4 linked regions of the Stegostoma tigrinum genome follow. The protein of the gene in region 3 purifies or fractionates together with the protein of the main gene of each other region. This does not show direct contact. Links are inferred from orthologs where the notes say so. Each region holds a gene or a part of one and is shown on either strand. Other genes may lie near its edges. The genes, in order: ss18, creb1b, smarca4a and ddx5.

What was found.
Region 1: the proteins of smarca4a (region 3) and ss18 purify together in Homo sapiens (affinity purification with mass spectrometry; 8 studies listed by BioGRID and IntAct, counting the BioPlex papers as one, with this or other methods). This does not show direct contact. The link is inferred for Stegostoma tigrinum from reciprocal best matches to the Homo sapiens genes SMARCA4 and SS18.
Region 2: the proteins of smarca4a (region 3) and creb1b purify together in Homo sapiens (affinity purification with western blotting; 3 studies listed by BioGRID, with this or other methods). This does not show direct contact. The link is inferred for Stegostoma tigrinum from reciprocal best matches to the Homo sapiens genes SMARCA4 and CREB1.
Region 4: the proteins of smarca4a (region 3) and ddx5 purify together in Homo sapiens (affinity purification with western blotting; 3 studies listed by BioGRID and IntAct, with this or other methods). This does not show direct contact. The link is inferred for Stegostoma tigrinum from reciprocal best matches to the Homo sapiens genes SMARCA4 and DDX5.

What each region holds. Positions count from the first base shown.
Region 1 is NC_081358.1:125,259,784-125,267,158, reverse strand, and holds the start of ss18 (protein SSXT), read right to left. Parts: upstream 3,018-7,375; 5' UTR 2,391-3,017; coding exon 2,322-2,390; intron 1-2,321. Other genes in the region: proteasome subunit alpha type-7, read left to right, coding at 3,770-3,871, 6,134-6,260. UniProt on the Homo sapiens protein: Appears to function synergistically with RBM14 as a transcriptional coactivator. Isoform 1 and isoform 2 function in nuclear receptor coactivation. Isoform 1 and isoform 2 function in general transcriptional coactivation.
Region 2 is NC_081360.1:14,409,383-14,416,425, forward strand, and holds the start of creb1b (cyclic AMP-responsive element-binding protein 1b), read left to right. Parts: upstream 1-4,031; 5' UTR 4,032-4,210; intron 4,211-4,218; exon of another isoform or gene 4,219-4,302; intron 4,303-4,384; exon of another isoform or gene 4,385-4,456; intron 4,457-4,490; exon of another isoform or gene 4,491-4,688; intron 4,689-5,215; 5' UTR 5,216-5,365; intron 5,366-7,043.
Region 3 is NC_081388.1:12,628,563-12,635,688, reverse strand, and holds the start of smarca4a (SWI/SNF related, matrix associated, actin dependent regulator of chromatin, subfamily a, member 4a), read right to left. Parts: upstream 3,002-7,126; 5' UTR 2,912-3,001; intron 1,354-2,911; exon of another isoform or gene 1,237-1,353; intron 1-1,236. UniProt on the Homo sapiens protein: ATPase involved in transcriptional activation and repression of select genes by chromatin remodeling (alteration of DNA-nucleosome topology).
Region 4 is NC_081375.1:10,864,859-10,872,738, forward strand, and holds the start of ddx5 (probable ATP-dependent RNA helicase DDX5), read left to right. Parts: upstream 1-4,865; 5' UTR 4,866-5,208; coding exon 5,209-5,252; intron 5,253-5,796; coding exon 5,797-5,968; intron 5,969-6,839; coding exon 6,840-6,936; intron 6,937-7,880. Other genes in the region: trichohyalin-like, read right to left, coding at 4,367-4,565. UniProt on the Homo sapiens protein: Involved in the alternative regulation of pre-mRNA splicing; its RNA helicase activity is necessary for increasing tau exon 10 inclusion and occurs in a RBM4-dependent manner. Binds to the tau pre-mRNA in the stem-loop region downstream of exon 10.

The sequences.
Region 1 (7,375 bases), on a different chromosome or scaffold from region 3:
ATTAAAAAAATTCAATAGGAACTTCTGAAAGTGACAAATATGCAGTTAAGAGTCAACTACTTTGCTGTGGTCTGGAGTATAGCTTTAGATTCTAGATTTTTATTTATTGAATCTAAAGTCTACCAGCTGCTGTGATGGGATTTGAACTTGCAACCCCATAGCCTGGTCCTCTGGATTATAGTTACACCCTAACTATGAACCATTTGCCTCTGAAAATCTGCATCTAACATGTTGACAAGGAGGAATAGGTGTAGGCCATTCAGCCCTGCAAGCCTGTTCTGCCAATCAATGAAATCATGACTGATCTGTGACTTAACTCCATGTACTTGTCTTTGACCCACAGTCATTAATAATTTAGGTACATTTTTGTTAAGTAATTTGTTTATGTTTTCCTGTTAACATCTTAAAGGCTTCGATCAGATCACCCTCAACCTTCTAAATTCTAGAGAAAACAGTTTGTATAATCTCTCCTCATAACTTAATGCCTGAAGTCCAGGTTTCATTCTGGTAAACCTACATTGTACTCCCTCCAAGACCTGCATATCCTTCCTGAAGTGTGTAGCCCAGAATTCAGCACTAGATTTCAGGTGAGGCTGGAACAGTGAGTTACTGGCTGAATGAGTTGTACTGTTTAAGCTTATTTTAAAAAGGAGGGATCCTTTGTGCCTTTCCAACCACTTTCCCTCCTTGCCTTGCAGAAATGGTGCACTCACCAATCCCCAAATCCTGCGCAGCCCCTTGGAGAATAAGGGCTTTCATTTCATCGCAGAGACAATACAGTGTGGAGCTGGATGAACACAACAGGCTAGACAGCAGAGGTGCAGGAAAGTTAACGGTTCGCGTCGGGACCCTTGCTCGAAACGTCAGCTTTCTTGCTCCTCTGATGCTGCTTGGCCAGCTACGTTCATCCAGCTCCACACCGTGTTATCACACCCCTTCTTCAGCAAAATTGTGTTCTTGTTTTATCGTGTCCCTTTGCTTTCCTCAGACTTCTCCACATCACATTTCATCTGCATTAAAACAGGTCGAACTGAGGAGGCTGTAAATCCGAAAGTTCGGAAGGGTGGAGATAGTCACTGGACCCAAAAGGTCAACTGATTTCTCTCCATAGATGCTGCCAGACCTGCCGGGTTTTTCCAGCAATTTCTACTTCTGTGTTAAATTTCAGCTGCCCCTTCCAGTCGTGTCCTCTCCAAGTCCATGACTACCCTCCTCGCGTCCACAATATTTCGTTTCATCTGGACAATTTTTAAAAATTGCGCCGTTGGCCAGACCGAGTGTAACCGAGCTTCCCAGACTTGGAATTGCCAAGCTAGGATTTGAACTCAAGTCTCCAGCTGAAACGGCTAGGCTTCTGGGTTTAAACCTGCCCCAGCAACATGACCCAAAACGTAGCCCGTGACTTGGCAAAATAGCTCGGCTGCGAAGAGACAACCCAGAGGGGAAATGCCAAGGGAGGAACGCGAAACAGGACAGGAGTCAAACCTCAACTGTGCAAAAACTGCTATTTCCAGCACAATAAACAAAAACGCAGGAGTACAAGTAAACATCTCAGCTCAGAACAAACGAAAAAAAAGCAGTGACCTTGTCGTAAAATTGATGTAACAGAAATTCCCCCAGAACGTGTTACTCGCTCAAGCTCACACATCAACTCGAACAATTAAAGTTGGTTGAAATGAATAGAAAAAAAAACGTGAAATCAAATCCATCAGCAGATCTGAAGTATTCTTAAGGGGTGGAGAAAAGGGGAACATTTCAAATCCAACCAGACATTGCAAGAAAAAAATAACCTCGGAGAGAGAAAAAAAAATTACTGGAGACGGATTAAAAGTTAACTGCCAACCCAATTGTACTTATGAGAAAATGATCATTTCCTGGCGCTTGTGAATTTCGCTGAGCGAGGTTGGACTTAGGAATGAGGCTGTAAAAGCTTCAAGAAGCTCTGGGGGAGGGGGGGGGGAAGACAAAGAGAAAAAAAATGTTCTCCCAAAAACAGTTGAAGACCTTCATCATGGCCGCGAGAGCAAAATTCCCCCTCTCTGTCAAGCATTTTTTTCGTATCTGGGTGAGTGTATAGGAACCCCCTCTCCCCACGGAATCTTATTTTTAAAACAAAATACACAGGGAAGAAGAAAATGGTTTTTGTTCCCCGTTGAAGCTTAACGGGACTCTACGAATACAAAGGCTTCATGATCTGATGCCCCCTCCCCCCCGGTGTGTATGTATAGGTTACATTGTTGCACGCCTGCTACAATGTAACCCTCCAGTGTAACAATCTGAGCGGATACATTGTCGCAACGTTCCAAAACTCGCTACATTACCTTCTGAATGGCGGCAGGTGTAATTTCACCTTTCCCGCGTTGCCGGGGAGTAGCAAAAGCAACCGACATCGTGCTCTGCTCTGTGTATGGAGTTGAGTCTATTTCTCACCCTTCCACTCCTCTCTTATTTCTATTCTCCCCCCCCCTTCACTCCCTCCCCTCTCTTCACCCACACAGCATACAGAATGCAGCAGACATGGTAGCAACTCCTCCTCCTTGGAAACAGGCAGCGCTCTTTTTCTTCCCTCTTCAAAGAGATTCTACTATATTTTTTAAAAAAAATCTCTCGTAGCTGTGGGAGGAAGGGGAAACGGCAGAGTTTACACCCCTCCTCCAGCCCCAACACTAAAAGGCGTAAGGTAGAAAATGCACACCAGGGCTGCAGCAAGAAGTTGTCAGCAGCTGTGCAAGGAGACAAAGAGGGCTGCAAGTGCCTGCATTATTCTGATCCAGTGCATTTTCAGTGACTGGGGAGACAGTGCAGTATTTTGGGTGCAATTTCTAATGAATCAGTCAGCTGAGGATCTCCCCCATTAATGAATGAAGAATTCCGGATAAACTCCTGCCAGTTACACTGCAACCACTGGGGATTTTGTGGATTCAACAGCAAGCAATTCCTACACAGAGTAAAGCAACAAATCCGAATTGGGCCAGAGTAGGACATGAAATGCTTCCCACGAATATAACTACCGTGTACTTTACTAATCAATAAAGCCAGACATTCCCAGGCCTCTACAGTTGTCCTCAGTACCCACCCTCCCCTCTGGAGACAAATGGTGCATTCCTTCTGGTTTCAAGACCAGAATCTGGAACAGGGAAGCGACTTTTTTTTGGCAGTGATGCAACCAAAGTTGCAACGAAAATAGATGTTTTTCAACATGTTCAATCAGTAAAGGGGGTCAATTAATTTCAAGATGCATAATGTTTGCAGTCCATAGATGTTTTTTCTGTCAGATCGCCCTGATGTTATGTAGCTGGATTTCGTCCAATCCTCCCCCTCCTCTTTGTGGTTTCTTCCGGCCTGAGGCCATATCAAACTATACCCAGTAGTCGGGAGAGGGGGTGAGGAATACCAATGTGTAGAATACACACACTGTCCCACCAAATATACGCAACGAACAAAAGAAAATTGAAGAATAATTAATAACTTCCTTTCAAAAATGGGATTTTCGTTACTGATGCTGCGCGTTAATAATATAATGGAACGAAATGATATTACCGCCCCTCCGGAGAAGCTGTTTAATTGGTGAAGTCCATTGGCCACAGCTCCGCCCCTTCCATGAGGGCGTGCGCAGTGGAGTCCTTTAGTTTGGCGGCTGGTTCGAGCGCGCGCGTGCGCTGTGCCGGCGGCCGGCTCGTGCGCGTGCGTTGCGCCTACCGTCCGTTTGTGCGCGTGCGTTACGGCCGGTCTTGGGCGGGGAGGGGGGGTGGATTAGTTGACCGCGGCTATGGCGGCTCGCTATGACCGAGCCATCACTGTGTTCTCTCCAGACGGACATCTCTTTCAAGTGGAATACGCGCAAGAGGCCGTGAAGAAAGGCTCGACAGCGGTGAGTCTGTAGTAGAACCGCCCCACTCCGGGAACAGTGACAGCCCCCAGGGACGGTGACCCCGCGCGCCCCCCCCTCCCACTCCCCCCCCCGGGACAGTGACCCCCACACGCCCCCTCCCTCCAAGGACAGTGACCCCCCTCCCCCCCCGGGACAGTGACCCCCCCTGCCCCCCCCCCCGGGACAGTGACCCCCACACGCCCCCTCCCTCCAAGGACAGTGACCCCCCTGCCCCCCCCCCACTCTCTCCAAGGACAGTGACCCCCACACGCCCCCTCCCTCCAAGGACAGTGACCCCCCTGCCCCCCCCCCACTCTCTCCAAGGACAGTGACCCCCACACGGCCCCCCCCGGGACAGTGACCCCCACACGCCCCCTCCGTCCAAGGACAGTGACCCCCCCACACGACCCCTCCCTCCAGGGAGAGTGACCCCCTGCCCCCCCGGACAGTGACGCCCCACACGCCCCCTTCCCCGGGACAGTGACCCCCCACGCGCCCCCCCCCAAGGGACAGTGACCCCCACGCGCCCCCCCCCAAGGGACAGTGACCCCCACGCGCCCCCCCCAAGGGACAGTGACCCCCACACGCCCCCCCCCTCCCCAAGGGACAGTGACCACCCCTGAAACAGTGACCCCCCCCCCCACACGGGATGGTGATCACCCATATTCCTTCTTTGCCCCCTCCACCCCCAATTAGGGACAGTGATCCCCCACATCTCTCCACACATCGCTCCCCCCCCCCTCCCAGGGACAGTGGCACCCCCCACATGCTTCCTCCTCCCCTGCCCCAGCACAGTGCCCACTTTGCTGCTGCCCTATGCCAAGGGACCGTGCCCAACATTCCAGGGTGTAGGCGAGCACGAGGGGGCACAGCTTTAAATTGAGGGGTGAAAGATATAGGACAGATGTCAGAGGTAGTTTCTTTATTCAGAGTAGTAAGGGAATGGAACGCTTTGCCTGCAACGGTAGTAGATTCGCCAAATTTACGTACATTTAAGGCGTCATTGGATAAGCATATGGACGTACATGGAATAGTGTAGGTTAGATGAACTTGAGATCGGTATGACAGGTTGGCACAACATCGAGGGCCGAAGGGCCTGTACTGTGCTGTAATGTTCTATGTAAATGTTCTATCTATATGTAAACTGCTTGATCTCTCTTCATAAGACAAGCCCTTCATCTCTGGTGAAATTCAGGAGGTCTGGCAGCAACCGTGCAGAGAGAAACAAATGATCAATGTTTCAGATCCAGTGAACCTTCAGAAGGGCCCTGAAGGAGTGTCACTGGACTCAAAACGTCAACTCTCTTTTTTTTAAACTCTTCACTGGTGCTAGACTTTCCCTGGCAATTTCTGTTTTTGAGTAAATCTCCTTTGATCTGTGTCTGAGACAACTACCTTCTTCCTCAATTAAGTGACCAACATTTTACATAGTATCCCAGATGTAATCTTATAATGCCTTGTCTAGTTGCAGTAATACTTATCTACTTTTATATTCTATTAATTTATGAACAAATGCCAAAGTTCTCTCTGAAGTAACCTAGCAAGATATTTACTTGAACAGAGTCAAGAGTTTTTACATCTTGGAAAGAGGGCCTTCACCTATTGCATTTATGCTAGTTGTTAAACCTCCATCTCTTCTCATTCCATTTCTATGGCCTTGTTTGCTGTGGCATTTCAAGTTTTCATCTTGGTATTACCTAAATGTCTCAACTGTTCCTGCCTCTACCCTTTTCAGAGAGAGAGTTCCAAACACCCACAACCCTCTGAATTTTTTTTCTCAAATCCTCTCTGAAGGTCCTGCGCTTGAGCTGAAAAATGTGCCTTCTGGTTATTAATCCCTCTACCAAGAGAAAATGTCTATTCCGAGCTATGCTGTCTATGCTCCTCAAACTTGGGAGACTTCACTCAAATCCTGCCCTCGGCTTTCTCTGCTGTATGGAAACCAACTTCACCTTATCTTGTATCTCTTTGTAGGTTAATTGTTCCAGTCCAGGCAACATCCTGGTGAATCTCCTCTGCACCCTGTCTCGGGCAATCACATCCTTCCTATAATGTCCTGCCCAGATCTTCTCTCAGTACTCCAGCAGTGGCCCAACTAATCTTGTATACAGTTCCGACATAACTTCCTTGCTCGTCTTCAATGCTTTGGCTAATGAAGACAAGTATCCCCTAAGCAAACCATGTCTGCAGTGTCATGCAGTCCTGTAAGTTTTTTTTCCTTTCGGTTACTCACTCACTGTGCTTACTCTTCCCGTTTTGAAGGTTGGGATTCGAGGTAAAGATATAGTTGTTCTTGGTGTGGAGAAAAAGTCTGTTGCAAAACTTCAGGAGGAGAGAACAGTGAGAAAAATCTGTGCACTTGATGACCATGTCTGCATGGCATTTGCAGGTATACTTTGGGATTTCCTTCTGGGGCTTTTTAATGCAACTTAATTATATTTGTTTTATTTTATTATTTGTTTTCTAAAAAATGGCTGAAAAAATATCAACAAGGTTGAGGAAACATCCATCATTGAAATTGTTTTTGGATGTGACTGTTTGAACGCCTCAGGCTCTAATAACTGTCACTGTTTATGTGTTCTCCAGAATTTGGAAAGTTATTGGGACTCCTTTAAGATATTGACAGGAAAGGTCAGAGTTAATAACAATGAACTATTTCTACTGATTGGCAATTCTAGAACTCGGAAGAGTCTGAGAATTAGGGCCAGGCTATCCAGAAGAGATGTTAGGAAGCACTCCTATACAGAAAGGTGATAGATGTTTGGAACTCTCTTCCACAAATGGCTGGTATGTTAGATCAGTTGTTAATTTTTAATTTGAAATAATTTTTTGTGAAGCAAAGGTGTTAAGGGACCTAGGCTAAAGGCATGTATTTGAAGTTAAGCCACAGACCAGCTGTGAGCACATTGAACAGTGAAATGGGTTGAAGGGGCTGAATGGTCTACTCCTGTTCCTAAGTTTCTGTCAGTGTCTCATATCATCTTTTCCCCAAAGAAATAACTTGCATTTCAGTCAGTGTTGATGATGTTTATGGCTGTAGACAGGTATGTGGAAGTGGGTTGTGTTGAGAAGGGTCAACAAGTTCAGCTCTTATTCAGTTAGAACAGGGGACCAATGCTGACTGCAGGACAGCAAAGCCTTTGACAAGGTGCCACAGGGGACACTGATGAACGTAGAAGCATGTAGGCTTGGCAGGTTGGACCCAAAATTGGGTTAATGGTAGGAGATAGAAGGTGGTGCTGGAAGGCTGGTTGTGCGATTGGAGGTCGGTGTCCACTGGCGTTCCACGGGGATAAGTGCTGGTCCCTTGGGGAGGTAACAGTGTAGTGCAAGGTTATTAATCCAAAAACCCAGATAATCCCGCATGGCAGATGGTGGAATTTGAATTTTATTTCACAAACAAAATCTGGAATTAAGTCTGATAGAAACAGAGAAGACAGGAGCAGGAGGAGGCCATTCAGCCCTTCGAGCCTGCTCCACTATTCTTCACGATCATTGCTGATC
Region 2 (7,043 bases), on a different chromosome or scaffold from region 3:
GTTCCCATGTATCTGCTGTCCACGTCCTTTAGATGGCAATACTTGTGCATTTATAAGTGCCCAGTGAGGAGCCTTGGTAAGTTTCTGTGATACAAAGAGTCATACAGCATGGAAACAAACCCCTTGGTCCAACCAGTCCATGCCGAAATTAATCCCAAACTAGTCCCACCTGTCTACTCCTAGCCCATATCCCTCCAAACCTTTCCTATTCACGTACTTAACCAAATGGTTTTAAAATGTTGTAATTGTACCCACATCCACCGCTTCGCCAGGAAGTTCATTCCACACACAAACTGCTGTTGAGTGTCAGTGGTGGAGTGGATATTTCAGTATGTGATGGCAATCAAGCGGGCTGCTTTGTCCTGTATAGTGTCAAGCTTCTTGACTGTTGTTGGAACCACACTCATCCAGGTAAGTGGGGAGTAGTTCATCACACTCCTGACTTGCGTCTTGTGGATCATGGATAGGTTTTGCGGAATCAGATGGTGAGTAACTCACTACAGTATTCCGAACCATAGACCTACTCTGGTAGGCAAGGTATTTACATAGCTAGACCAGTTCAGTTTTTGTTTAAATGGTAACTCAATGATGGTAATGCCTTTGAATGTCAAGGAATAACAGTTAGATTCTTTGATGTTGAATATAGTTAGTTCCGAGTATTTGTTTGGTGGAAATGTTTGTTGCCACTTGTCAGACAAATGTGAATACTGTCCATAAGACCATATGAAATGGGAGCAGAAATTAGGCCATTCGGCTCATCGAGTCTTTTCCACCATTCAATCAAGGCCGATAAGTTCCTCAACATGCTGTCCCTCCTTGATCCCCTTGATAATCAAGAACCTATCTATCTCAGTCTTAAATGTACTCAATGACCTGGCCTCCACAGCCTTTTGTGGCACTGAATTCCATAGATTCACCACTCTCTGGCTGCAGAAGTTTCTCCTTATCTCCATTCTAAAATGTCTTCCCTTTACTCTAAGGCTAAGCCCTTGGGTCCTAGTCTCTCCTACCAATGGAAGCATCTTCCAACATCCACTCTGTTCAGGCCATTCAGTATTCGGTAAGTTTTCATTAGATCCCCTCACCCTTCTAAACTCCAATGAATATAGTCTCAGAGTCCTCAAATGTCCCTCATATGTTAAGCTTTCCATTCCTGGGACCATTCTCATGAACCTCCTCTGAACCCGGTCCAGAGCCAGTACATCCTTCCTGAGATATGGGGCCCAAAACTGCACACAATACTCCAAAAATGGCCTGACCAGAGCTTATAAAACCTCAGTAGTACATCCCTGCTTTTATATTCAAGTCCTCTCAAAATAAATGCCAACATTGCACTTGCCTTCGTAACTACTGACTCAACCTGCAAGTGGACAGAATCCTGGGCTAGAACTCCCAAGTCTCCTTGCACTTCAGACTTCTGAATTTTCTCCCCATTCAGAAAATAGTCCATGCTTTTATTCTTCTTGCCAAACTGCATGACCTCACTTTCCCACGTTGTACCCCATCTGCCACTCCTTTGTCCACTCTCCTAACCTGTCCAAAGCCTACTGCAGCCTCCCCAGCTCCTCAATACTACATTCCCCTCCACCTATCTTTGTATCGTCTACAAACTTAGCCAGAATGCCCACAGTTCCTTCATCTAGATTATTAAGTATAAAGTGAAATGTTGTGGTCCCAACACTGACTCTTGTGGAACACCACTTGTCACTGGCTGCCATCCTGAGAAAAACCCTTTTATCCACGCTCTATGTTTTCTGCCAGACAGACAATCTTCTATCCATGCTAGCACCTTGCCTCTAAACCATGGACCCTTATCTTACTCAGCAGCCTCCTTCGCAGCACCTTGTCAAAGGCCTTCTTGAAGTCCAGGTAGATAATATCCATTGACTCACCTTGAACTACCCTGCTCGTTATTTCCTCTAAGAATTCTAGCAGATTTGTCAGCAATGTCCTCCCCTTGATGAAACCATGCTGACTTTGCCCTATTTTACCATACATTTCCAGATATTGAGAAATCTCATCCACTACAATAGACTCCAAATTCTTACCCACTAATTGGCCTGTAATTTTCTGTCTTTTGCCTCACTCTCTTTTTAAATATATCTTGCTGCAGTTGGACATGGATTATGTTAGTATCTGAGTAGTTGCGAATGGTGTTGAATATTGCACAGACATAAATGAATGACGGGAGGCCAATGATAATGCAACTGTAGATGGTTGAGCCCAGGACGCTGCCCTGAGGAACTCTGCAGAGATGTTCTGAATCTGAGATGACCAAACTCCAACAACTACAATCATCCTTCTTTGTGGACATATGACTGCAACCACCAGGTTTCCTTTTGATCGCCACTGACTCCAGTTTTGCTCAGGATCCTTTACATAACACTCACGTAAAATGCAGCCTTGATATTAAGAACAGTCACTATCACCTTATCTGTGGAATTCAGCTTTGTACATTTTGATCCAAGGCTGAAATGAGGTCAGCAGCTGAGTGGTCCTTGTGGAACCAAAACTGATCATCAGTAAGAGATAACAGTTTGGAGCTGGAGGAGCACAGCAGGCCAGGCAGCATCAGAGGGGCAGGAAAGTTGATGTTTCAGGTCGGTACCTTTCTTTTCTGAAGGGTCCTGAACCGAAGCTTCAACTTCCCTGCTCCACTGATGCTGCCACGCCTGCTGCGCTTCTCTACCTTCAGTGTTATCCCTAACTCCAGCACTAGCAGTTCTTACTATCTCTGATCATCAGTAAGCACATCTTGGTAAGTGCTGCTCAACAGCACTGTTGACAATACCTTCCATGACTTCACTAATGATTGGACAGTGGACTGAAGGGAAAGTAATTAGCTCGGTTAGAATTGTCTCGCTTACTACATACAGAACCTACCTTGGTAGTTTTCCACATTGTTGTCTAGATGCAGGTATCGGCTGCATGGGGAGGGTATTGCTAATCTTCATTTCTGAATCACTGCAATTGATGGGGGAAGACACATAACCAAAGCATTGTTAAGTGAGTTCCAGGATTTTAGCCCAGCCACACTTGCAGATCAGTGATATAGTTCTAAGTCAGGATGAGTGTATGGATTAGATGGAAACTTACAGGTGGTGCTATTCCTGTGCTTCTGCTGTCTTAGTCCTACTAGATACTACAGGTCACTTTTTGAGATGTTCTCCAAGGTGTCTTGGCAGAGTTGTTGCAGTGTCTCCATGGTACACATTGCTGCAACTGTGCATGCATAATGGAGATGCCAGTCAACTGGGCAGAAGGGAATATCACGAGGGGAGACAGCATCGGAGGGAGGAGCCATCAAGGAAATAGATAAAATCATGAGCAGCCCATTCAACACCTTGGAGCTTGCTTCACCATTCAATATAATCAGGACAAACCACTGAGTTCAATGCCCTAAACCCACCCTCTCCGCGTGTGCCACAAAAGCTCTATCTACTCTCTTCTTGAAAAACGCAACTTTGGTCCTCAACCATTTTCTGTGGTAGGGAATTCCACAGAATCACCCACTCTCTGCGTGAAGAAGCTTCTCCCTATCGCACACTGCAAGTTTTACCCCTTATTCTTGAGCTTTGACTCCTGATTCAGGACTCCGCCACCTTCAGGCATCTAATCTGTTCCATCATGTTAGAATTTCGCAAGTTTCTATCACGGAGGTGGAAGAAGGGAATATTTTGAAGGAGGAACAGCATGGCTGTAGTGGGAGGGGGCGGGGAAAGAACTCATGGTGTGCAAGAGAGTATGGCATGGGAAGAGGCGAGGTAAACTGCACTGCAAGAGAGTCGTGATTGAGACCGCGTGGGGCGGCTCTTCAATACTTAAGAGGAAGTAACATTGCAAATAAGGGTGCAGTTTTTAACCGCGATTATTATGCGGGTCTCTACTGGTCAGCAAATATCCAAACACCCCCAATAAAAACAAATTCAGGGCTGGGAAAGTTGCGCATGCGTACATATACCCCCGCCCGGCGTTGGATCCAAGCGAAGGGGGCCGCGGCGCGCACGCGTAGTAATCAAACGTTCCATTAAGGAACTATTTGCGCGTGCTCTCTTTCCTTTTCCGGAGTTCACGTTTGTTTGTTTTGTTTTTGTTCATCCTGAGTTACACACCCTGATCGTTCGGTGGGGGACAGAAAGCGTGTCTGATTTTTAAAACATAAACGAAACTGACAATAGGATGAGACGTTACATTCGGAACCGATTCAACAGTGCGTACCTGGCGCGACTCGGCTCAGCCCGGACTGGGAACGCGCTGGGGCGGTTGGAGTTTGAAATAGGGTCGGCGGCGGCCGCGCGCGGGTCTCTAGTTGTGCGCTTGCGCAGTTTGATGCAAAAGACGCCTGGCGGTAGCGGCGGGGATTCCCCACTGTCCACGGCGGGTGCGTGCACGCGCAGTTTCCGGAAGCTGGAGCGTGTTGTTGGGGGGAGATGGGGAGTTTAGCGACTGCGCACAAGTAGGTTGCTCCTTCCCTTTCACCCCCCCCCCCCCCCCCCGCTCCACCAGCACACATCCCTGCCGTTCCTCTGTCTGCGCCGGGAGCGTCTCAGTCAGAGAGAGAGAGAGGCTGACTGACTGTGTGAGTGAGTGACGCGGTGGAGGTGTAAGGGACTGACGCGGTGTTTACGTCTCGGTGTGAGTGTCCAGTGGCAGCAGAGAGAGCCGGGGACTTGAGGGAAATAAAACCGGTAAGCGAGATAAATCGAGAGAGAGATAGATGGGTTGGTGTGGGTGTGGAGGGGCGGTGTTGAGGAGGAGGAGGAGGTGGTGGTGTTGGTGAGTGAACAGCAGCTTGCATCTGAACAATGGCGGCTGACTTGTTAGTGAACAGGGCTCCTGGATTGGAAAGAAAGAGTGAGCGAGAAGGGTTTCTCACTCTTCCCCGTTTCTACTCCAGGAACACCCCCCAGCAATGTTTATATCGAAAAGAAAACACACCCCCCCCTTTCCCACAAACCAATCCTTCCCCCGCCCCCCACCCCTCGTTTTACAGAAAAGTCCCCGCCAAAAATCTTATGCATTAACATTTCTTAACCAACTACCACCACCACCCCCCCCCCAACAAACACCTCCCAGTTTTCGGTTTCTAAACACGTTTTAAGAAATGTAGCCACCAGGGAAACTGGCTTGTTCCTATTGCAACATCACTTTTTTTTTCTCTCTCTCAATTTGGTGTTTAAAATAAAATGGGCGTCGGACCGCTACTGTGAGCAAGAAGTGAGAAGATCACGGGTCGTTGTTTCCTGTGCCATGACTGTAATTTCTACACACGTTTGCTTTTAAATCGCCCCCCAAAAAATCGCGCAGTGCCCTGCCCGTGTTGGAATCTCGCTGTGCAAGAGCCCCATCTCCCCCGAATCCTGAGGTGCGGAAATGCATTTGAAACTCCACAAAACATGTTTCATAATATAAATTCTTTCAGCAGTACAGAAATCCACGCTTCTTGGATTAATAGTCTTCTAAAAAGTGAAAGAATGTAGTTCAACTACTGTTAGTGATCTCGTATATTTCCTACAACATATCCGCAAAATTGCTTGCGCCCATAATACATTTTCGCCATGATGAACGGTGCCACAAACAGCTATAGTTTTGTTTAAACAGTGAAACTGAAATAATGATGCAGATTAAAAGTTAACGAGTATGTTTCAACCCATGTGATCCTCCATGGATTTGTTCTACCAGTTCAGAATTAAAATGTTTAATGTAATAATTTGAAGGTAGTTGAAATATTTATTTTGTTTTATAGTAATCCTGTGTATCCATGTAGCATGAATTCTGAAACAATTAACCATGTGCAGGTATGCAAATCTTCTTTGCATATTTCCTGTGGGACCTTTGTTTTAAATGCTGCATTGGCCTAGTTTTCACTTTGCTGCTTAATTCAAGAATAAACAAAGGACTGAATTCACATAATATTGCTTCAGTTAGTTTTGCCATCAGGCCTTTTTGTTAAATGAAGCAATTGCTGTTCTCAAGACAGAATAGTCAGATTTTTTTTGGCTGAATTTTACATGATTTCTCTCCCTGAGGTCTTGACTTTATACAGCTAGGTGATGCTGTGTATTTTTGTTGGTTTGTAAATTTATATGGCCTACATATAGTAATGAATTAGAAACTTTACATTAATGTGGCCTTTTAAAAGGGACACATTTACTTGATTATCAGATCAAGACTTGATCATGGGAGTCATTTATCGAGGGTTTTAAAATACAAATAGGTTTCAAGTTAAAGTACAGTGTCTATTTTTCAGAATATTTTAATCCAGCAGTTATTTTATTGTAATGTATCAGATGGAGGTTTACATAAGATACTTTGTCTAGTTTGTAAACTGTAAATTGGAAATGCCAGAGGCAATGGTCAGTAAATTGGTGAGATTTCCAGAATTTGCTGCTTGGAGCCACAGAGTGGCTCGAACATGCGCTACACGTAGCATCACTACCCTGTTGCCAGATCTGCTCAGATCATAACCTTCATTGAGCCTCAATTTCTGCAAGAACTGCTTACCCATATCTGATTAGTCGGGATATTGGCCCCCCCCCCCATTCTTTACTCATCACATCCTTGGTCCTGGCCCTTCCACTCAAATGTCACTGTAGATGATTTTATAAATTGTTCTCTCTCCTCTCCCAGGAATTATCAACCTTCCCTGTTGAACAGAGAATCTAGTGTCATCTGTTTGCTAGCTTGATCCACTTTTGGATGAGTTTAAACTTCTTTGGTTCATCTAAAACTGTAACCTTCCCATCTCCTCCAATTGTTACATTTATCTGAACCAGACTGTTTCCAGTTTCTGCATTTTTGGGTCCAAAAGAAGGTCACCTACATAATCATTAAAAATGCCTGTCTCCGCCTCAGCCCATCGTTAGGTAAAATCTTCATATATGCTGTTGTCAATTCTGTATCCCATTCTCCACCATACTTAACTTGCGTTCATCCAAAAACTAGAGCTATTATTCCTGTCCCCGATATCTCCTTTGTTTCACTGGCCCTTTGATATTTCTTACTCCCTTGAAGACCCTTAGTAATTTTCTCAGTTCGGGGCT
Region 3 (7,126 bases):
GCCTTGGAAGTTTAAGATTTGATACAAATGCCTGTTGCTGGCTGAACATTTGGAATGAAATCACGGATTGTTTCTGAGGGAGGGTCACTGGACTTTTTTTTATTCATTTTTGGGATGTGGGCATTACTGGCCCAGCATTTCTTGCCCATCCCTTGTTGCCTTTGAGAAGCTGGTAGTGAGCTGCCTTCTTGAACCGCTGCAGTCCACCTGCTGTGGGTTAATCTACAATGCATAAGGAATTCCAAGATTTTGACCCAGTGACAGTGAAGGAACGTTGATGGTGAGTGGCTCGGAGGGAACTTTAAGATGCTGTCCTTCTCCTTCTAATTTGGAAGATGCTGTCTGAGGGACTTGAAACGTTAACTCCACCTTCTCTCCACAGATGGTGCCAGACCTACTGAGTTTCTCCAGCAATTTCTGTTTTTGTACTGTGCTCTAACAGAGTTTTCTCCACAGCTCACTCTTTGTCCTACTGGGCACATCACAAATTTCATCTTATGGGCTAGAGGGGCAAAGCCATTTAGGAAGTAGCGACTTCAATGAACTTCCCAGCAATCCATCAAAATATTAGTGCCTTGATGACACTAGTCAATAAGAATGCGAATGCACAATGCAGGCTTGAATTACAGTCCACACAGCTGCCAATCCCAAGAGCTACCATTGCTTAGGGATGGCTGAGAAATACTCAGTGCATCTTTACACAGTCACAAGCAGGGAGCGTCAGACCAAGTTGCATCTGAGCTCAGACTGGCAATTCCTGCTGAAGGAAATACTGTAGCTAGTTCTACAAAGGAACTTGGTGAGTTGGAAAAGAGTAATAACAATCTTAAGGAGAAAATATATCTACAATGTACTCTTACAAACAAATTAGAACAAAACAAAGTGTTTTCTCCCATCTCTCATTGAGTCATCCCTCCAATTAAACAGTCCAATTGACAAGATAAAAGTTCAGACCAAATGAAGTTGGCAGATCTGAATGTCAAGTGGCTCTGAAGCTTGCCCTGTATGACCTCTCCACTTTGAAGCAAGTGCTTACTCTACCACACAGAAGAGCTGCCCTAACTCAGCCTTCTGCTCAAAGAATGATATACTTCCATCTTTCATTTATTTTATGCAGAATTGATCATGTTTTGAAACACAACCTACACTTTTCTGTCAGAACAACTGACTGGCTGAGGTCAGCTAGCAGTGCTTTTTAAAAATGCTGCTTTCGTGATTTAAGCTTATGCCTCTTACCAGCTCAACAGGATAGCAACCCAAGGACACTGTATCGCTGCAGGGGCTGTCCTTCCTATGTAAAGTTCACCACATTTTTGAAAATCTGTATCTGGAGGGATTCAATTGTAGATAAATCTTCCACATGTGTAAGATGAGAAAGAGAAAGATCATTACTTCCATGTGAGATCAACAGGTAGATAGATGGTCACCATTCCAACTCATAATCACTATCACTTTGCACTTTGTTCAACCCCTATCACTGCTCTGTCCTCATTCACCAACTTTTAGAAACTATATAAATTTCCAAATTCTTGTTATGTTAATTGATGAAACATCTGCCTGACATGCTGAATTGCCCAGTCTTTCCATTTATTCATTCTTAGCTTGTGAAGAGAACAGATTGGCTCTGTTGCAAAGCCTATTACAATCAAATAGTTTGTCCATCTTGCCAGGGAAAGAGATGTCTGCAGTTTCTTGAACCCCACAAAATCTTTGAGAGGAAAATGAAATTTTAAATAAAAATAAACTCAAGTTTTTCATAGCCTCCACAGGAAAGCTGTATGAGCTGAACCGTGAACGGCTGCATCTGTCAATGTCATCCTTTGCACCCAACAGGAAGCAAAGTTAGCTTATAACAGAGCTGCTTTTAATTCTCCCTTTCTGTGAACCATAGTTGGTTAATAGAAGTATGTGGGAAGAGGGCTTAGTCTGGAGCAGAACTTTCCAGGCAGGAGGCAACACTGCATTGTTCAAAGCATTGTACTTTCGTCTTTAAGAACTTCAAACACTTGTCTACTTAGCTGGGTTCACGCTATCAGGGTCAGGGAAAAATAAGAAATAAAAAAAAACAGAAACTGACTATACAGCAACTCTAGTCTTTGAAATTAGTTATGAACATCCACATTGCATTTTAAATAATAAACTAGGTCATCACTGAAACCACATCATAAACAACACATCCCGATTTCCAGGCTCACATATGCAAAATACTTAAAAGAAATGGAAAATCTATAAACAACAATATTCAACAGGGTACAGCATCAATTCACAACAGATAGCTCTACAATCATAACAAAAACTTGTAAACGACTATATTTTTCGATTTATTGAGATAACAAAAGGGGAAGGGAAAACATTCAAACGGGGTCATATTCATACGGCATTATTGCAACTTAAAACATACCATGGATGTTTCCTAACACACTACAAGAGATATTTAAAAGTATCGCCTATGCAGCAAATATAAAGTTTTCTTTTGAACTAACAAATAACATGTCTTTGCAGAAACAGAGATTGATGCTTTGTTCCTTCAGCAGCTACCCACGCAGAAAGCGCTAACGTGAGAAACACACACATGTACAGAATAATACAGCTGATCGAACAGTGCAATAAAGCCAGGCAGTTCCCTCCGCTGTTCAGATCTGGCTAAACAATATATTTTGAATTAATCGCAATATAAACTAATTAATTTTAGTCCGAATGCGCCACCATCTCGAGCGGCGGGGCCTGCAGCTCAATCTCGTCTTTTAAACAATAAAAGCGGCGCCGGGGCAACCGAGCCGCGCCGCCCCTCATTCAACAGCAAACCGGTAGCGGACCTTGTTCATCCGCCGGTCCCTCCCCGCTGCCCAGCCCCGGTTACCCGCCCACAAGCCCCCGGTCCTGGAGAGATGAGAAGCCGAGAGGCTTTTACCTGGACTGGAGGCGCCGCTCGCGCTGTTTAATGGAACAAAGAGAAACGGCCGGTAAGACCGCGAGCGGGGCTGGCAGCCAGCGAGCATGCGCAGAGTCTCGACTGCGGGTTTGGGGGATGGGGGGAGAAAGGAGATAGAGAGACAGGGGTCATTGAGGGAGACGGAGGAGGGGGCACTGAGAGAGACAGGGGTCATTGAGGGAGACGGAGGAGGGGGCACTGGGAGAGACAGGGGTCATTGAGGGAGACGGAGGAGGGGGCACTGGGAGAGACAGGGGTCATTGAGGGAGACGGAGGAGGGGGCACTGGGAGAGACAGGGGTCATTGAGGGAGACGGAGGAGGGGGCACTGAGAGAGACAGGGGTCATTGAGGGAGACGGAGGAGGGGGCACTGGGAGAGACAGGGGTCATTGAGGGAGACGGAGGAGGGGGCACTGGGAGAGACAGGGGTCATTGAGGGAGACGGAGGAGGGGGCACTGGGAGAGACAGGGGTCATTGAGGGAGACGGAGGAGGGGGCACTGGGAGAGACTGGGGGGTCACCGGGGGAGACGGAGACGGAGGGGGGGTCACTGGGAGAGACAGGGGTCATTGAGGGAGACGGAGGAGGGGGCACTGAGAGAGACAGGGGTCATTGAGGGAGACGGAGGAGGGGGCACTGAGAGAGACAGGGGTCATTGAGGGAGACGGAGGAGGGGGCACTGAGAGAGACAGGGGTCATTGAGGGAGACGGAGGAGGGGGCACTGAGAGAGACAGGGGTCATTGAGGGAGACGGAGGAGGGGGCACTGAGAGAGACAGGGGTCATTGAGGGAGACGGAGGAGGGGGCACTGGGAGAGACAGGGGTCATTGAGGGAGACGGAGGAGGGGGCACTGGGAGAGACAGGGGTCATTGAGGGAGACGGAGGAGGGGGCACTGGGAGAGACTGGGGGGTCACCGGGGGAGACGGAGACGGAGACGGAGGGGGGGTCACTGGGAGTCACCCGGGGAGACGGAGAAGGGGGGTCACTGTGGGAGACTAGGGGTCACCGGGGGAGACGGAGGAGGAGGGGGGGTCATCGGAGGAGACGGGGGGGTCATCGGGGGAGACGGAGGAGGGGGGCGGTCATCGGGGGAGACGGAGGAGGGGGGCGGTCATCGGGGGAGACGGGGGGGTCAGTGGGGGAGACGGAGGAGGGGGGCGGTCATCGGGGGAGACGGAGGAGGGGGGCGGTCATCGGGGAGACGGGGGGGGTCAGTGGGGGAGACGGAGGAGGGGGGTCATCGGGGGAGACGGGGGTCATCGGGGGAGACGGAGTGGGGGGGGGTCATCGGGGGAGACGGAGTGGGGTGGGGGTCATCGGGGGAGACGGGGGTCATCGGGGGAGACGGAGCGGGGGGGGTCATCGGGGGAGACGGAGTGGGGGGGTTCATCGGGGGAGACGGAGTGGGGGGGGTCATCGGGGGAGACGGGGGTCATGGGGGAGACGGAGCGGGGGGGTCATCGGGGGAGACGGGGGTCATGGGGGAGACGGAGCGGGGGGGGGTCATCGGGGGAGACGGGGGTCATGGGGGAGACGGAGCGGGGGGGGGTCATCGGGGGAGACGGGGGTCATGGGGGAGACGGAGCGGGGGGGGTCATCGGGGGAGACGGGGGTCGCGGGGGGGGTCATCGGGGGGGGTCATCGGGGGAGACGGAGCGGGGGGGTCATCGGGGGAGACGGAGCGGGGGGGGTCATCGGGGGAGACGGGGGTCATGGGGGAGACGGAGCGGGGGGGTCATCGGGGGAGACGGAGCGGGGGGGGTCATTGGGGGAGACGGGGGTCATGGGGGAGACGGAGGAGGGGGGCGGTCATCGGGGGAGACGGAGGAGGGGGGCGGTCATCGGGGGAGACGGGGGGGTCAGTGGGGGAGATGGAGGAGGGGGGCGGTCATCGGGGGAGACGGAGGAGGGGGGCGGTCATCGGGGAGACGGGGGGGGTCAGTGGGGGAGACGGAGGAGGGGGGTCATCGGGGGAGACGGAGTGGGGGGGGTCATCGGGGGAGACGGAGTGGGGTGGGGGTCATCGGGGGAGACGGGGGTCATGGGGGAGACGGAGCGGGGGGGGTCATCGGGGGAGACGGAGTGGGGGGGGTCATCGGGGGAGACGGGGGTCATGGGGGAGACGGAGTGGGGGGGTCATCGGGGGAGACGGGGGTCATGGGGGAGACGGAGCGGGGGGGGTCATCGGGGGAGACGGAGCGGGGGGGGTCATTGGGGGAGACGGGGGTCATGGGGGAGACGGAGCGGGGGGGTCATCGGGGGAGACGGGGGTCATGGGGGAGACGGAGCGGGGGGGGTCATCGGGGGAGACGGAGCGGGGGGGGTCATCGGGGGAGACGGGGGTCATGGGGGAGACGGAGTGGGGGGGGTCATTGGGGGAGACGGGGGTCATGGGGGAGACGGAGTGGGGGTGGTCATTGGGGGAGACGGGGGTCATGGGGGAGACGGGGGTCATGGGGGAGACGGAGTGGGGGGGGTCATTGGGGGAGACGGGGGTCATGGGGGAGACGGAGTGGGGGGGGTCATTGGGGGAGACGGGGGTCATGGGGGAGACGGAGTGGGGGGGGGTCATTGGGGGAGACGGGGGTCATGGGGGAGACGGAGTGGGGGTGGTCATTGGGGGAGACGGGGGTCATGGGGGAGACGGAGTGGGGGGGTCATTGGGGGAGACGGGGGTCATGGGGGAGACGGAGTGGGGGGGGTCATTGGGGGAGACGGGGGTCATGGGGGAGACGGAGTGGGGGGGTCATTGGGGGAGACGGGGGTCATGGGGGAGACGGAGCGGGGGGGTCATCGGGGGAGACGGAGCGGGGGGGTCATCGGGGGAGACGGGGGACATGGGGGAGACGGAGCGGGGGGCTCATCGGGGGAGACAGAGCGGGGGTCATCGGGGGAGACGGGGGTCATTGGGGGAGACGGAGCGGGGGGGTCATCGGGGGAGACGGATCGGGGGGGGTCATTGGGGGAGACGGGGCGGGGGGGTCATTGGGGGAGACGGGGGTCATTGGGGGAGACGGAGGAGGGGGGCGGTCATTGGAGGAGACGTGGGGTCAGTGGGGGAGACGGAGGAGGGGGGCGGTCATTGGGGGAGGAGGGGGGCGGTCATTGGGGGAGACGGGGGGGTCATTGGGGGAGACGGGGGGGTCATTGGGGGAGACGGAGCGGGGGGGTCATTGGGGGAGACGGGGGGTCATTGGGGGAGACGGAGGGGGGGGTCATTGGGGGACAGTGAGCAGGGGGCTCATTGGGGGAGACGAGGGTCATTTTAAGAGACGGAGCAGGGTGGGTCATTTTAGGAGACGGAGCGTGGGGGTCATTGGGGGAGACGGAGGTGGGGGTGTCATTGGGGGAGAAGGGGGTCATTGGGGGAGAAGGGGGTCATTGGGGGAGAAGGGGGTCATTGGGGGAGACGGGGGTCATTGGGGGAGACGGAGCCGGGGGGGGTCATCGGGGGAGACGGAGCGGGGGGGGTCATCGGGGGAGACGGAGCGGGGGGGTCATCGGGGGAGACGGAGCGGGGGGGTCATCGGGGGAGACGTGGGTCATTGGGGGAGACGGAGCGGGGGGGTCATTGGGGGAGACGTGGGTCATTGGGGGAGACGGGGCGGGGGGGTCATTGGGGGAGACGGGGCGGGGGGGTCATTGGGGGAGACGGGGTCATTGGGGGAGACGGGGGTCATTGGGGGAGACGGAGGAGGGGGGCGGTCATTGGAGGAGACGTGGGGTCAGTGGGGGAGACGGAGGAGGGGGGCGGTCAGTGGGGGAGACGGGGGGGTCATTGGGGGAGACGGGGGGGTCATTGGGGGAGACGGAGCGGGGGGGTCATTGGGGGAGACGGAGGGGGGGTCATTGGGAGACAGTGAGCAGGGGGCTCATGGGGGAGACGAGGGTCATTTTAAGAGACGGAGCAGGGTGGGTCATTTTAGGAGACGGAGCGTGGGGGTCATTGGGGGAGACGGGGGTCATTGGGGGAGACGGAGCCGGGGGTCATCGGGGGCGACGGGGGTCATTGGGGAGACGGAGCGGGGGGGTCATCGGCGGAGACGGTGGTCATTGGGGGAGACGGAGGAGGTGGGTCATTGGGGGCGGAGGGGTGTCATTGGTGGAGACGGAGCGGGGTGAGGTCATTGGGGGAGACGGAGCGGGGGGGTCAATGGGGGAGACGGAGCAAGAAGGGTCATCGGGGGAGACG
Region 4 (7,880 bases), on a different chromosome or scaffold from region 3:
CTGGGCCTCCTGCATTGCCACAATGACACCACCCGAAAGATGCAGGAGCAGCATCTCATTTCAGGAACCCTGCAGCCCAGGGGTATCAATGAGGACTTCACAAGCTTCAAGATCTCCCCTCCCCCGACCGCATTCCAAAACCAGCCCAGCTAGTCCCTGTCTCCCTAACCGTTCCTCCCAACTCAAGCCCCAGCCCCGTCTCCTACCCACTAACCTCATCCTGCCTCCTTGACCTGTCTGCTCGCTGGACTGACCTATCCACCCCTAACTCCCCACCTACATTCACCTTCACTGGTTCTAACCCCGCCTCTTTGACCTGTGTGTCTCCTCTCACACTATCATCTCCTTTATCCATTTTCTATCCGCCTCCCCATCTCCCTATTTATTTCAGAATCCCCTTCCCCTCCCCCATTTCTGAAGAAGGGTCTCGACCTGAAACGTCAGACTTTCCTGCTCGGCCTGCTGTGTTCATCCAGCTTCACACCGTGCTATCTCAAGTAGAGGCAGCAAGGTTCCCAAAGGAATCAAAATCAAAGACCGCTTGGGTCTCGTGTGTACACTCTCAAATATTACTTGAGAAAAAAAAAATTGACATTTTTGGATTAAGTAAAGGTAAAATAAAAGAATATGATCAGATAGAAAATTGTAGAATAGCAGTGCACAAGCTTTTCAAATGTTGGCACTGAGCAACAGTTCAATCTCGATCCTCCTCAGGGTCAGCAAAATTCAGAAACACAAGGAGTACCACAATATAAAATTAAGCTTCAAAAAATTCAAAGGCAATAAGTTGATAATTTAGTTAATAAAAAAATCACCATTAAAAATACAAAATGACAAAACTCATTAATAAAGCCAAATTTTGCCAAACAATAAGATGTAGAGGTCCGGAGAGGAGAGAACGAGAGAGAGAGAAAAAAATCAGCCCCAATTCTTGATCACTGGGGTGGTGGTGCTGGCTGGGACCAAGCACTGGGTGAGGCACACACTGAGCAGACCTAGGTAGAACTGACAAGAAAATGGAAGTTGAAAGGTGACTTTCAGCATTAGATTTGCTCTTCTCGTCCTGCTTTCCCTCCATCTTTTCCTTCTCCTGTACTCACCCCTTTTCCCCCTTTCTCTCATCCCTTCCCCATCCTCCATACATCCTCTCTTTGTCATTCGTTGCACACATTTACTTCAAAAAAAATCCATGGGAGTTTGTAATTCAAAAATTTCCGTAATCGTTATCCTATTAAACATTTTACACTGAAATAGAAAGTGTGCAATTTGTTTTTCATTCCTCTCCACTGCAACAGCCTCTCCCCCAGGATACTTTGATATAATCTGATAAAACAGATTTCTGAGTAAGGATTCCTATTCTTCTATCATGTGCGTACAAGCACAGGGTTCAAACTAATTAGAGCATCAATTGGAATCTCAGTATCTTGACCGAACAGGCGAAAAAAAAGGATGCAGTAATACAAATCAGGAGAGCAAAAAGCTAAATCAATGTGCAATATTTTTGGGAAAAGACAAATTAATAGGAATGACACAGCAACCTAACTATCAATCCTATTAAACCCTCCTGCCATCACAACCTGACATTGTTCCTCTACACAATCAAACTCCCACTGCCTTCTCCCTGTGTTGCGGCACATGCCCTTCAAGCCAAAATCTCCTTGAAAGCCTTATATTCCCCAACATGGCCTGTGAAACCACTAGCACAGCTTCCATGCCTGAGGCTGTTTGCAGCTGCCAGTAAAGCAAATGTCAGGCCACATGAAATGCTTTGGCAGGTTGTGCACAGCACGCAGTGCAAAGAAGTGTACCTCCAATTAGAAGACACCAAAGATATGGTAGTGTTTTGGTCCATGGATGCAGGTACTTTATAGAAATTCTAGTGACAAGGCATAAAACTGGGTAATAATGCTGGATTATACTTTGTAAGCTAGTGATATATTACTACGCCTCATGTCTCACGTATTGAAAAGTGTATGACTGCCATGAAACATTGGCTACATAAAAATAAATACATCAAAATGAAGACCTAACTAAATTATGCTGTAGGATGCCAGCTGTTTTTCAATTAACAAATAATTTTTCCACATGCAAGCATGCATTAAGCATTTATCCTGCCTAGCTGCTCAACACTGCAATTTCAAAAGAATCTATTTGTAAATCAAATTATTCTATCTCCTTGCACATCTAGATCTGACATAAAATTGAGCATCATCTACACTCTAGTACATAAATGGGTAAACATTAAAACTTAGTTAAAATCCCAGTGATCTTGGATTGCTAAATTTCCTCTAGTGCTTCAACTAGATTTGTGAGCACTGTTCCAAATGTAGATGCCCTTTGGTAGTCAGAAAGCAGCCTTTATTTGCAGTAACGATGAATTAATGAACTTTACTGTCTGCCTAAAATGGTTATGTAATTATACCTGCTTAAAGCTAAACAAAGCTTAAGAATCAAGTGACTTGTTTAATCTTTACATTTTGTAACATCCTGATGGGTATATTTAATACCAACTGGACACATCCACTTTAGAAGAGCTTATCAACTGGCTTCAAACGTATACACAATTTGACAACAGACTTGATGGTAAAAATCAGAGAGCATGTTTGCTGGTTAGTGTGACTTTTGCACTTATTCATGAGACGTGGGCATCACTTGTCAAGCCAGAATTAATGCCCATCCTTCGTTATCCTTTGAAGGTACTAGCCAGCTACCAAGCTGAACTGCTGCAATCTATTTGGTGTAGGTAGTCCTACAATGCTTTTCAGGAGCAAGTTTACACATTATTTTATTGGGGAAACCACATGCTCTGGCCTGACAACTGGTGTTTTCTTGTCCATCTGTTCTACATTAGAGTAATGGAAAAAAATTAGGGAGAATACACAGCCAACATGTTCCAATAATGACAAAAAGTGGGACCAACACATTCTATGAACCCTGGAGACCAAGGAATATATAGGATTGAATAAAAAAAAGCTTATGGTCTATCAGGAGGGCTCAAAATCCCACAAGAACAGTACAGAATGTGCAAGGGAAATTTTATCAGCCAGAGGGTGGTTAATGTGCAGAACTCATTGCTGCTGAAGACAGTGGAGGCCAAATCATTGAGTACATTTTAAGATCGAGGTAGATAGCCTCTTAATCAGTACAGTGAACAAGGATTACAGGGAGAAGGCAGGAGAATGGGGTTAAGAAACTTTTCAGCCATAATTGAATGGTGGAACAGACTCAATGGGCCAAGTGGTCGAATTTTTCTCCTATATCTTATAGAAGACATTACTAATGATTGGTCTTGAAGCAGATCCTAACCATCTACTCTACATTCATCCAACATTCCACTTAAAAATAATCATTGACTGTAGTGTTCTTGAATTTGCAATTACAAAAGCTAACACATATGAATTTACTGAGATAGCAAGAACTGCAGATGTTGGAGTCAAAGATAACAAAGTGTGGAGCTGGAACACAGCAGGCCAGGCTGCATCAGAGGAACAGGGCAGCTGACGTTTCGGGTAGAAATCTTCGCAAGGATGGAAGAGCAGTAATGGGAGCAATTGAAAGAACCCTGGGAAACAGAGCTTGGCTAGAATATGTTACGCCACAACCAAAACGGAAGGCGCAGTACCACACTCATCTGAGGCGAAGGCGAGAGGGAGTAAAACCAATCGATTCCTTTTAAAAGGCTACTACTAGCCTCAACTCCCTCTAAGTAAAAAGTTGTTTCGGACATTATACCAATTCGTCCAAGTGCATTAAATCTCGGGGGTTAGGGTGACTGGTTGGAAAGAGATATGAGGCGCTGCAAGAACTGGTATTAATAGGAAAGTATTGTATAAAGAATAACTGAACTGTAATTTAGTGTTGGACTGGCAATCGTATTAACAAATAGCATTAGGGTCACTGGACTCGAAATGTTAACTGGTTCCCTTTGCAGAGACGCTGCCAGACCGCTGTCTCTCCAGCATCTTTTGTTTTAATTAAAAACATGCTTGACGAGGACCTGCCCGATATTTACTTTAACCGATAACAGACGCCTCTAAACAAGCTTCTGGTTGCCTTGACACTGTTGGTTGGGTCAGGAAGCTCGAGTTCGATTTATAATGACCACCACACGCAAATATTTCATATTACAGTATATGAAACGAATGGTTTTCCTAGTGTAAAAGTAGACTATAACTAAATACATCGTTATATATGGGGAGGGGGAGCTAGAAATAAGATAATTTCTTGCTTGACATAACTCAAATCATTTCAGACAAAAAAAGTGACAGTTAAAAGACGTGGCAGTAGACTTGATTTTAAAAAAATCAAAACACTAAAACACTGGGAAAGTTTGTTGGGAAAGTTGTCAGCGCGGCTGCTGGCCTACAATTGAAGCCGATTCGACTGCGACCGACCTCTCTCGTCCTGCTCCTCCATCGCCAGCGGTACGGAATAGAAATTCTTTCTCCTTCGACTGGACGCACAACAAATATAAAGTAAGAAACACCAAATAGCTCAGTCGAGTCGGAGTTACAATTAATCAGTTTGTTGTCAGTCCACTGCCATAGCCCCGGACCCTTGTACATTTAAAACGTCTCCAGCCGCCCATTGGCTCTGGGCATGACGTCACCAACCGCCCACCCGCGGAAAATGTCATTACTCCAAGCGCCGCCCCTCGCCTTTTTATTATCACTTATAAAAAAACACAAATACACACTCCCCCCACCTGTCACCGGCAGCGTTCATGTGAATATTTTATTATTTAATCATCGTCCTTTTCGTTTGCTTCCTACCCTCAGTGTCGTTTCATTGACGTCACCCTGTCGCCATGGGGAAGAGAGAGCTCCCCTCCTCGCTCATTTGTAATCGTCAGCGAGGCAAAGTAGGCCCTGTCATTCGAAGATGGGCGATGAAGTTTCGTTTAAAGTCTTCCCTGCCGCCAGAAAGCTGGAACAGCTCGATTCTTGAACAGTGGGATAACGATATGAGGGTGTTGAAGTGACAAAGGGGTCCGGAAATATTTGGGTCAAGAAGTAGCTACGTAGATTTGAATTGCGGAGGGATATGCGGAATGAGTTCCGGGCTCCCCCTTGCCGGCTTTGACTAAAGGCGGACAAGGAACCGGCATTTTAGTTTCGGCTTTCAACCGGCTTCCTCCCTTTCCCACAGTCAGCTCCATATCGAGCGTCAAGTATCTCGTTTGCAGTCCTGTCCTCCACTTTTTCCGCGATGCCTGGTTACGATAGAGGTGATCGGAGTCGGGAGCGTGGCGGGTGAGTTTGTGATTTTTTTTTCCCCCTCTTTCGAAAAACGCACCTTCAGTTTTTTTTTAATCTTCAATTTTTTTTTGGAAAAGAAAAGCCGGTTCCGTTCTGGAGGATGAGAAGAAGCCACCGCCACGCGGTCCGCTTAGGCAAAATCCTGGCTGGTGTGCGGAGCGTGATTTGGCATTTTTTTTAAAAAAAAAGCAAATTCCTTAAGGAACTTCAATTTTTTGGGAGGGGGTTCTAACCAATTAAACATTCTTCCGCTTTGCCATTTTTATTTTGGTCTTGCCGTAGTCTGTTTTTGTTTATTTGTATATTTCGATGCTCTGTTTGACCTCGTGTTACAGGTTTCTTCCTTGTATTGTAGCTAAAATGGCCGGGAGATGCTGTTTTTCGGGGGTGGGTAAAGCTGATCGTGGATGTTGGAGCTACCTTACGGTCTTGCGTCGATAGCCTGTTTTTTTTTCAGATACACGTCTGCTATCGTCTGTCTTTCTCTCTTTTGTTTGAAAAGCGTAATTTTTTTTCCTGTAAAAATATTACATTCCAGGTTCGGTTCGGGTGGACCTCGCTTCGGTGGTAGCAGGAACGCGCCTCCGCCCGGCAGGAAATTCGGGCAGCCGGGGGAGAAGCTGAGGAAAAGAAAATGGGACCTGGACGAGCTGCCCAAATTCGAGAAGAACTTCTACGTCGAGCACGTAGATGTGATGAACCGACCTGTGGTAGGACTGGCTGGCTTTTTTTTTCCTCCCCTCTACCCCTAAACCTTTATTATAATTCCATGTAGTCGTGAGATATACTCGTAAAACTAAATACTGTTAGTGCCGGACAAAATGGTAATCCTTTCATTTAAGGGAGACTCTAAAGGGAAACAATGTGCTTTGACTTGGCAAAGGTGGTGGAGGATGTTGGGCTGACGTTTGTAGCTGATGGGGTTATTCTTGAGTGAGCCGGTGATTCATTCCTATTAGTCACTAAAGGGCGATCTCTGCCCGCCCACTGAAATATACATAACTGCTGAACAGATAACAGTAAATTTTTAGTGTATTTTCAGCTAATGTTTGGTATCCCCCTGGTGGACATCTTCTAACAGACAAGGGAAAATTACAGACGTATACCTTTTTTAGCCTTTTCAATGAGGAAGTATTAATCAGTGGTTCTTGTACTTGTTTCAATCAGTTGAACTTGGGCTGATTAGTACATCTGAGCTTTTGTGTCTATGGAGGTTTTTAAAGCTTTCAGTTTTCCTATTTTTGGATACATATTCACCAGTTATGTATCTTAAACTGTAAATTGATTACTGTGGGATCTCTACTGTGAAGGATGACACTGGAAACAAAAGCAGAAATTACCTGAAATTCTGTAGGTCTGGCAACACCAATGGAGAGAAATAAGAGGTGATGTATTGGGTCTGGTGACCCTCCTTCAGACTGAAGGAAGCTTTTTCTGCAATCTCTGCTTTTGTTTCTGACTTTTTTAGGTTTTATTTTATGGTTGGAACACTCCCTAATTGACTAGGGTTGGGGCTAGATTTATGGATTGCACTTTTTTACACAAATGTTAAATTGGATTTGATGCTGTTGTTGATTGCAGCAAGAAATTGAACAATATAGAAGAAGCAAAGAAATCACAGTAAAAGGACTTGCATGCCCTAAACCAGTTTTCAACTTTGTCGAAGCAAGTTTTCCAAGTAAGTATGGAATACAAGTGCATTAGAACATCTTCTGTGACTATACAGTTTAAATTAGAGGCAAAGCTGTGCTTCTATTATAAGTCAGTTGTACAGCAGGGAAATGGACTATTTAGTCCACACTGACCGTGCTACCAAACTGAACTAGTCCACCTGCCTGATCTTTCCTAAACATGAACTCAGGAAGGATAGTTTTCTAACTTTTATGAACTCTTGCTCTCTAGTTTAATAATTATCCTTGCTTTGGCATGATGGTCAGAACTGTATACAGTACTCCAAAAGAGGCCTCAACATCCTGCACAATCTAAACATGATAGCCAACTCCTTTACTCGGAAGCCTGAGCAATGAAGGCAAACGTGCTAACTGACTTAACCAACCTGTCTACATCTAACAAAAACAGAACCTGCTGTAAAAGCTCAGCAGGTCTGGCAGCATCTGTGTAGTAAATATCAGTTAACATTTTGGGTCCAATGATCCTTCCTCAGAATGTGTGAACAATGTCTACATGTGATGTGAATTTCAAAGAATTAGGTACCTGAACCCCTACATCTGTTCTACAACACTACCCAGGGCCCTACTGTTAATTCTATATGTCCTGTCCTTGTATAAATGCAAAACCCCACATTTATCCAAATTAAACTGTTTGCCACTCATCAGCCCATTGATTCATTTGGTCAAGATCTTTGAAATCTTAGATAACTTTCTTTTCATTGGCTATTCTGCTACCAATTTTAGTGTCATTTACAACTTACTAGCCACGTTTGTGATACACTATTTTCTCTATGTAAAACCATCCCTAATCAATTCTGTGTCTCCAAATGCATGAAAATCCGACCTTTCAGAATCACCTCAACATACTTACCGCTGATGTTAGACTTGCAAGTCTATAGTTTCCTGCCATCTCCTTACAGCCTTTATTAAACAATGACACAACATTAGCCAC